Arabidopsis thaliana: one gene and its partner. The protein of the gene in region 2 interacts with the protein of the main gene of each other region in a pairwise test. Each region holds a gene or a part of one and is shown on either strand. Other genes may lie near its edges.

Region 1 (4,320 bases), on a different chromosome or scaffold from region 2:
GTGGGAAAAGCTTTAGCTGTAGGAGTTGTAGACAAATTCTAACTGCCTTAGATAGACTTAAGATGTGTAACTTAGGCGGATCTTGCTGATCCATTTTGCATGTTATTGCCTCTACTCGAGCGGGTTTCTTCCCCTCATCTTTACTTTCATATCATGTTTGCAAGGTTTTATGTATAGTATTATGAACTTCCACAATTTTCTTGATTCGTGTGCCATGTAAATGATGGGGTTGCAGAAATGTCGGTTTTACAGTGTTAGAAAAAAATAAGTTAAAATAGAGATCACTCAAGCTTTGTCACACGGCAGGGTTAAAAAAGATATGCGGTCAGTTTCCTCCTGACCTCGACTGCAAATGCGCCTATGGCTGCGTACTCATCAAGAGCCTTCTCAACTATGTTGCACCGATTAAATTCGGGCAAGAACAGCCACAATGCCGTCACCATCACAAAAGTGAGTGTCAAAACCTGACTGATTGCTTTCGGGAATCTCCACCTACCGTTAATGGTTTTCTTGATGGCGATCTCCACGGTCGTGCAAAATCCATTTATGAGGAAGAACCACATCATCTTCCAGTCTGGCCTCAACCGTCCCATGTAGAAGAAGATGAGCTCGTGCATTATCCCAGAGACAACAAACGTCCCGAAAGCTGCAAGAATCTGGGAATAGTTCGGGCCCAAAACCGAGAACAGTTGAAGTGACGGTTCGTACACGGTTGGCCGTAAGATTCCAGTGACCATCAGGTTCCATCGTCTCCCCCAGAAATCTTGAAGTGATGTCGCTAGGTACGGCTTGTTGAACTGTGGCTCGAGCTCAAGATCCGACATGGCTCGAACCGCAGCAGCTGTGGCGGCAAGGATGATCTCAAGGGCGAAATATATGTGGATCGCGTAGAGAGTCAGCACGACTTTCTCAGGCAATTTGGTACTGTATTCGTAGGCTTTGATGATGAGAACCACAAAAACTGCCTTTATGGTATAAATCAAAGGACCCTCTGTGGATCCTTCATGGGAGTGAGTTTTTGTAGGTTTTGGGCTCAGCTGAATCTTGATGGGCAAGCAAGAGACAGCTAAGAAAATAGGGAGAGATAGGGGTTTATGGTTTGAAGAGAGAGGACCGCGCCCTAATGCAAATAATAAGAGCTTGAAATTTGCTAGCCAAGCGATGAAGAAAGCCGTGATGCCGAGTAAATGTAAGGAATATATCAAGAAAGGTACTATGAAGAAAATGAGGAAGACAGGGAAAAATAGTATGAGCCTTTTGATTCCTTTTGGAACCAATTTGGCAATGAAAAAAGTGTAACACAGTGAGATGATCACTAAACCCCATGCCTTGATGAAACTCGCCATTTTTGCTTCTTGAACTCAAATCTCGTCGGGAAGCAAGATGATGATGATAAACACGTTTACAAAACGTGTCCGCCAGCGAACACTAAATAATGATAGAGACGTGCAATAAGTTAAAATCCATGAGAAAAGTCTTCTTCTTTTTCTATACGAAACAATTTGACAATTGACATTAAAGAACCAATTCTCTTTCTTATAATATATTATTCATTGGGGTCTGGGGATATGGTAAATGGCTTTGCTTATTGTTCCGTCGTAATTTCTAGTAATAAAACCATTTCAAAGTTTGGTACAGACAAAAAAAAAAACATTTTAAGGTAATCTCAAAACCAAAAAGCCTATCAATCTTTGTACTTGGATGTTTTGTTGTTGCAAGGATTGCAGAGGAAACCAACGAGTTTCTAACTTTGATTCTCTGTAAGATTTTTCTTTCTTGGGCCATGTCAAAAAATTATAAAGAGTTGACTACTGTTTTATTCATCCACTATGTTAATCAAGAACATATTCTTCAACACCATCTTTACTTTAATCAAAAACCCTAATAATATCACCATAATTCTATGTCCCAAACAGAACAGGTGTTTTCTTTGGAGATCTTGAGTTTGGACCTCAGAATCAAAGATATATAAAGATGAATGAGGAAGAAGATAAAGATCAAGATCGAGTAACGAGAGGATGTAGTCACACTCATAGCTGTAACCCTCCAGGCCCAGAGGATGCTTCTCACTCCCACACATGCTTCCACGCTCACACTCATCTCATCATCTCTGTAATAATATCTCTTCCCTTAAGATATGGTATGTTTCTGATGATATTTTAATGGATTGTTATAGATACATATTTTTATGTTGCAGCAGGATCAGCAAGAGAATGATCATTCTGACAGTAGCAACAAGAAACGGTTATGTGGTAATAGAGAGGCAGTGAGGAAGTACAGGGAGAAGAAGAAGGCTCGCACTGCATACCTTGAAGATGAAGTGATGAGATTGCAATCTCTGAATGAGCAATTCCTTAGAAAACTTCAGAGCCAAGAAATGGTGGAAACTGAATTGATCAGACTCCGGGCTCTTCTGGTAGAGATGCAGGGGAAAATTGAAGTTGAACTTTGTAGTTTCTCGTTTCAGAAACAATGCAACGGTTCTGGTTTTGTGTTCAAAGAAGGTGATTTCTCCTACTATTTGGTTTACTAGTTGAAATTGGTTGTCAACAATCTGATACGTTGATGAAAAATTTAGCATTAAGAGGAAGAACTAGTAAATAGCTAATGAAATTTGAGCTACTGAAATTTTATTGAACAATACGAAACGCTAAAGAACTAGTTTCATTTATTTGGTTATCGTCTTAGTAAAAATCACATTTTCGAATAATGAAAACGTAAACTAATAGTAAACCATTCATCACCATCATTTTTATACAAAAGTGACCTAGACCTAATCTTGACACAATTTTGGATCTCGTGTAATCACACAGATGGATGCAACTTAGCAACAAGTAATATGATGTGTGAAGCGGCAAGAGTGGAGTGCGAGGAGGGCCAAACACTTCATGATCCTATTCAATCTTTTGTTCCTCAACCACCACCATTCTCACGTTAAGCGTTTACGGGCTGTGGTATTGTGTGTATATATATACATATGGGTTTAATTAGGGGCATAGAGGTCGGATTCCAATATAGTTAACATATACACAGATTGGTAACTTATTCTACATATGTCTATTTTAAGGGTACCAAAACATCTTGATGTGGAATTGATTTTGAAATGAAGAGGAGGATGATTGTAGATTTGTAGTTGTATGTATATATGATGATAATTGTGGGCTTAGAAGATCTTTGGGGGTCCATTTATAGATTCTCTATATGTGGGTATGGTGAATACCCAAACCAATAATAGATAAGGACTTAAGGTATGCATCATACATGCATGTGTATATCATAAATTTCAAATGCAAATGAATTCCATTGGTGTGGAATAGACTGCCCCAATCATTATTTTTTTTTTTCAATTCGCCTCAAACATTTGCGCATAATAATCATTCTCCCCCATGTAAAATTTACATGCGAATCAAATATTTCTGGATGAGTCAATGATAAGGCCGCAATGTTAGATTTTTGGGGTAAATTATTTAGCAAAGAGTATATATACTTTATAATATTGAAAACACATAATCATAGAGTGAAGTGTTAGGTGCCTCGGCTCTTGTGACTAGACTAGACCACTGCTTTTGACACCCAAAAAATAACTATTATAATCATTGCTTTCCTTTGTGGGTCATTCTTCTTTTATAAAAAGGTCCTTTCGAAATTTTAAATTTTCAAAAAATAATAATTCTTTTTTAACCCTACATTAATTTAGAACAATCATGTCTTTTCATCTTTAATCCTACCCTCTCATGAATATTTTATTAAAGCAAAAAAAAACATACTCAATACTTTGAATATGTGAAACTACGTGTGTAAGATTTTTTCTAGATAATTAGTTATGTTGCTTCAAATAAGAAACCTATGGAATTGGTCAACACATTTGACAATAAATCATATGCCCATGAGATTAATTAAGACAGATTTTAATAATGAAATGGTTTTTATTTAATTTCATGTGATCGAAGCATGCAATAATGATTGAATGAAATAAAATTCAAGTGTCTCTCACCAAACAAATAAAAGGACAATAAAAGCAGAGATTAAGCTGAGCAAATTGACAATTTGGATATGACATGCTTTTTATGTTTCCCTAATTACTCAAATTTATCTTTAAATGACAATAAAATTCTGCCGTTTCATTTTAAAATAAGCAAGTTGAAGAATAAGAAAACCAGGTAGTTTATTTAATTTTGTAATCAAACCAAAAGCTTAGCTATACTTAAAAATGTGTCCCTACCAAAATAAAATGATGAAAAATGAGAAAGAGACAGTAGGAGAGAGTGGAGACCCCAGCGATACAGCTGGTCTGCATATCAATCACCGGCGCGTGACCAA
Region 2 (4,665 bases):
AAAGAGAGAAGACGGAAAGAGAGCGGAAACCAAACTCCGGCGAGATAACGCAGGTGAGTTCTCGCTGGACTGTGAAGATAACAGCCACTGGAAGACATAGAAATAAAGCGCAGAGGAGAGGAAACAACGTCGGAGATATCATCTCTCACTCCACCGGAGGATTAGAAGAAATCAGTGACTAGACTACTTTTGCTTTTTAGAGAGAGAAAGAAAGTGTTCTATTATTATCAACGACATTTGGTTTCTAGAGTGAGAGAGTGGGATTTGGTGCAACTTGTTGTATCTTATTATTACGTTAAGAAATTATATATTTAATTCGAGTACACTAATTATAGAAATATATAATTCAATGGCATTTCATATTTGGAATTTTACATCTTTATATAGAAAAGTATTCGTCTTCTCTCGAGTTGTCATTTAATATACATAACGTTCTTAGTTTTATTTGGCCACTAATTCTAATAATTTTGATCACTGTACTGTTTATCCGAAAAGAGTATATATGAATTGAATTCTATTTGGTTATCATTTCTTGTACTTTATCAGTTTGTCATAAATCTGACTAAATCATAGGCCACACATAATGTGATTGTGTATGTATAAAGAATTTATTCGTTTGATTAGTGTGTTCAAAGCTAACATTAAAGGAAGGAGTCATAAAAATATTCGATTTACGTGGAGGGTTCTTAGTCTTACAAGTGGATTGATGGAAACCGTTGGATGGTAAGCTTTCTAATGACATCACGTGGCTGCGTGAATTTTCGTAATCGATCCGTTTTAGGAAACGTTTCCGTCTCGAAGGCAACAGCTTTGTTGGATACGAGTTTCTCTGTACGGTGGTCCACGTGGTCGACATGCAATAGATTTGGGCCTTTAAAAATCTGAGTTTTTGGGCCTTTCACTAACGACGAGAAACCTTAAGGTGGTTTTCATTTTGAGTTTTTGAGTTCAGACTTGAAAAGTTTTAGGACGATGGGTCTTCGGTAATGTTTTAGACCTTTACTTTATTTGTCAGCAACGAGATTTTATTTTAGTTTGTCAATTCACTGATTTTTTATTTATTTACTAGGAGTTCGCGGACAATCGGTTTATTTGATTCTTATACTAAATTTTTGAATGAATTTGATATTTTAAACTTATAAATATAAAACTTTTTAATTAAATATAACTAAATAATAATTGGGATTTTTTTTTTTTTTGTTATTTAGTAATAAAAGGAATGTATTAAAATATGTATTAATTAGTTATGTGTATGTAATTTTAGTAAAAGTAAAGACTATATGAATTATGTTATTTATAATTATATGTCTTTAAAGTGAAGATAAAAAAAATAAAATTATTTTACTTATTTTTGTTGAACGGAATTAATTTTATTGAACGGTTTAGATTGAATCGGATCATATAAAGTTAAGTAGATTGTTAAGACCAAATTACCATAATGATTTTGAATAGCAAAGAACAAAATCCAAAATTAAAATCAAAATTAAGGCGAAATTAAACAAAATTTTAATTTGTATTTCCCTTTTAATAATAAAGAGATTGACGTCATCTTGAATGTTTCAGTGTCAGCGAAAAATTATGGCAAAAGATTAGACGCGGTACGAAAGCAATTCACAAGATTTCATTTTGTTTCCTTTATTATTACTTTCAATCATACGATCTTCTTTTGTGATTTGTAGAGAAAAATCATACTTATTATGCTTTTTAAGTCGTTCTTCTTTTTTCCTCACAAGACATGCAATCAATTGAGACCTCACTGGACTGGGTGATTTGACGCAAGTTATCCACGTGTCTTATTTAAATTTGACAGTTCAAAATCACTCCAACAGTTGCCTAAAACTCCTAAATAATTTGGTGAATGGTAGAGTTTTTAGTTATATTTTAGTAAATTATTGGACTGCAACTCTACATAGAGTAGGCCGGACCATGATAAGTTTAGGCAGACTAAACCGGACCGGACCGGACCGGACCAGTTGGACAGGACTACCTCTCTCCCCCACCACACTCAAATAAATTATTGAGAAGTGAAAACTAGTGAAGAACAACAATCTCACTTTGTCTTTTTTTCTCTCTCTCTCTCTCTCTCATAGAAAAGGAAGTGGTGGAAGATGCCGAGGCCAGGGCCAAGACCGTACGACTGTATCAGAAGAGCTTGGCATAGTGACAGACACCAACCCATGAGGGGTTTGCTCATCCAAGAGATTTTCAGGTCATCATCATCATCTCTCTCTCACTTTGGATATCTATCTGTGTATCTATAGGTTTGTGTGTGTGCATGTCTTTCTTTAGCTCAATTGTTCTTTGAACTATTTGTAGGATTGTTTGTGAGATTCACAGCCAATCCACCAGGAAAAACACAGAATGGCAAGAGAAGCTCCCTGTTGTTGTCTTGAGAGCTGAAGAAATCATGTATTCCAAAGCCAATTCTGAGGTTTTTCTTCCAACATTTTAATTACAAAGGATTGTTTCTAAATAGTATTTCGATTTTCATTTTTTGCTTTTTATTGCCCTCTTTGAACAGTGTGACTGATAGTCTCTGGTAATCTGTACTAAACCTTGGATTTTATGGAGTTGATAGAGTGGATTTGTAGCTAATGTGTTCATTTGGAATATGAATATTTTATATACTTCTTGTGGGTTTGATGTTAGGCTGAGTATATGGACATGAAGACCCTTTTAGACCGTACAAACGACGCCATCAACACAATCATACGACTTGATGAGACCACCGAAACAGGGGAATTTCTTCAGCCTTGTATTGAAGGTATACAATACAATCTGTATATTCGAGCTTTCGGGGATTATTGGCTCAGATCAATGAGCAAGTCTTGTTTATTATGTAGCTGCATTGCATTTGGGGTGCACACCAAGGAGAGCTTCAAGGAGCCAACGGAACATTAACCCGAGATGTTATCTTAGCCAAGACTCAACTAACTTGGACAACATGTTGTCCCAAGTATTCATGAAACCAAACAACTTTGCTCCAAAGAATCTTGCAGTAGCACAAGAGAATTGCCCTGTCTCCAAGTACTCTGCCTACCCTTTATGCTATTCATTCCGGCCAATCAGTGACTCGTGTAAGTCCAAGAACAGTAGACCGGCGAGTCTCATTGACGCAACAAATGGCATTACCTTTGGTGGGTGTGAATGTGATCTATCTCTGCGCTTAGGTCCTCTTGGACCTCCTACTCAAAAACGAAGTAAGATAAGCAGCAACAATAACAACTGAAAAGGAGAGCAAGATTGGGTTTTGATTAGCAAGTCTTGTGTTAGAAGAATGTGTGCTTAGTTAGGCCTTTTAGTCTCCTCTCTAGACCCTAGGTTTAGGTTTGTGAACATGTAAATAGAGAGACGAAGTAACAAAACAGGAGATGAAGTCGTTTTCTTCTACCTGCATCAATCTCGAATCATCAGACTTCACGAATGTATTTTTACATTGCAACACTGTTCGAGAAATATCCATTCCACATCTCTGTTTTCACAACAAGCATATTAAATGCCCTACATTGGATTTTCCATCGAAAGACTTTAGTTAGACTCCATCTGATTCTTCGGCGACCGATGATGACTCTAGCAGGCTCCTTATGAAATGGGCTTTTTTGAGCCAACTCAATTTAGGCCCATTTAGTTGCAAGTAGGCTGAAGAACATTCGGTAAAACGGATCGAACTTAAAGTTTCGTTTGCATTTTTATGAAGATAAGACACACTTGTAACAACTTTGTGGAAGATTTTTGAAATCGTCTGTTCTACAGAAAAACCGAGTGAACTTGGACGTTAATCATCATAATCAACATGAGATTCTAAGTACATTAATTAACTATATAATTCTTGATTATTATATGATTTCATACGATCCAGCTGTTCGACATTAGACTCGAATTTGAATCAAAGAGGACAAATCTTAGATGCAAAAACTATCTTAACAACCAAATCTTTTGTGTAGATATACAAATGCTCTTGCAGATATTAGTAGTTAAAAAGGAAGAGAAGATATTTTATTGTGTGTTATAAACCATTGGACCTATTTCAATTTCAAAAGCATAATTAAACTAATTCCTTGACAACCTGGAAGACCTCGTCAATTCTCAGTTTTCACCTAATACGAATCTTATCAACCTGTGGGAACGAAACACACTTACCAGCATTTTTCCAAGCAGTCCATTGTTGAAAATTGGCAAAGTAAGATTTTAAAAAGGGCCAACTTTTTTTGTAGTTTAATAATTTTTTCACAAAAGTAATTTCTCATTGGATTATGAGTAAAGCTTTTCTTTCTCATTACCCAACCTGGTCCATTATTATACATATATGTACAAGAAACAAAATATTATAATTTATGTCTTTACCTAAAAGATGATCCAAGTAGTTCCAATTATTAAATCACTAACCAATTGACTCTCTACGTATTGGTTTGACACGAAAGGACCGTTCTCATGGATTCTGTTTTGTTACGATATAATAATAACATAATTATTATTTTTTCTTGGACCATTATTGATTAATTATGTAATCTTAGTCATACGTTGACGGCTTTCATGAATCATGATGATATCAAAAGAGATCATCCGTATGATTGTAGTGGAAGCGACATGCGGACTATATATGTCACGATATGCTAAGATAATATTTTTACTTTGTTAAATGATATGTTAAGATAAGATTTGCTG

Evidence for each region. Proteins that work in one complex are often made in the same cells at the same time.
Region 1: the proteins of AT4G32295 (region 2) and BZIP24 interact in a two-hybrid assay, tested with the Arabidopsis thaliana proteins (one large-scale study listed by BioGRID).

The regions. Positions count from the first base shown.
Region 1 is NC_003074.8:19,281,446-19,285,765, reverse strand, and holds BZIP24 (basic leucine zipper 24), read left to right. Parts: upstream 1-1,573; 5' UTR 1,574-1,701; coding exon 1,702-1,760; exon of another isoform or gene 1,761-1,916; coding exon 1,917-2,112; intron 2,113-2,197; coding exon 2,198-2,504; intron 2,505-2,813; coding exon 2,814-2,938; 3' UTR 2,939-3,376; downstream 3,377-4,320. Other genes in the region: ASAT1 (acyl-CoA sterol acyl transferase 1), read right to left, coding at 309-1,346. UniProt on the Arabidopsis thaliana protein: Transcription factor involved in the regulation of salt stress response. Functions as a negative transcriptional regulator of salt stress acclimation response by regulating cation homeostasis.
Region 2 is NC_003075.7:15,590,852-15,595,516, forward strand, and holds AT4G32295 (histone acetyltransferase), read left to right. Parts: upstream 1-2,036; 5' UTR 2,037-2,108; coding exon 2,109-2,209; exon of another isoform or gene 2,210-2,316; coding exon 2,317-2,431; exon of another isoform or gene 2,432-2,649; coding exon 2,650-2,764; intron 2,765-2,843; coding exon 2,844-3,229; 3' UTR 3,230-3,704; downstream 3,705-4,665. Other genes in the region: AT4G32290 (Core-2/I-branching beta-1,6-N-acetylglucosaminyltransferase family protein), read right to left, coding at 1-142.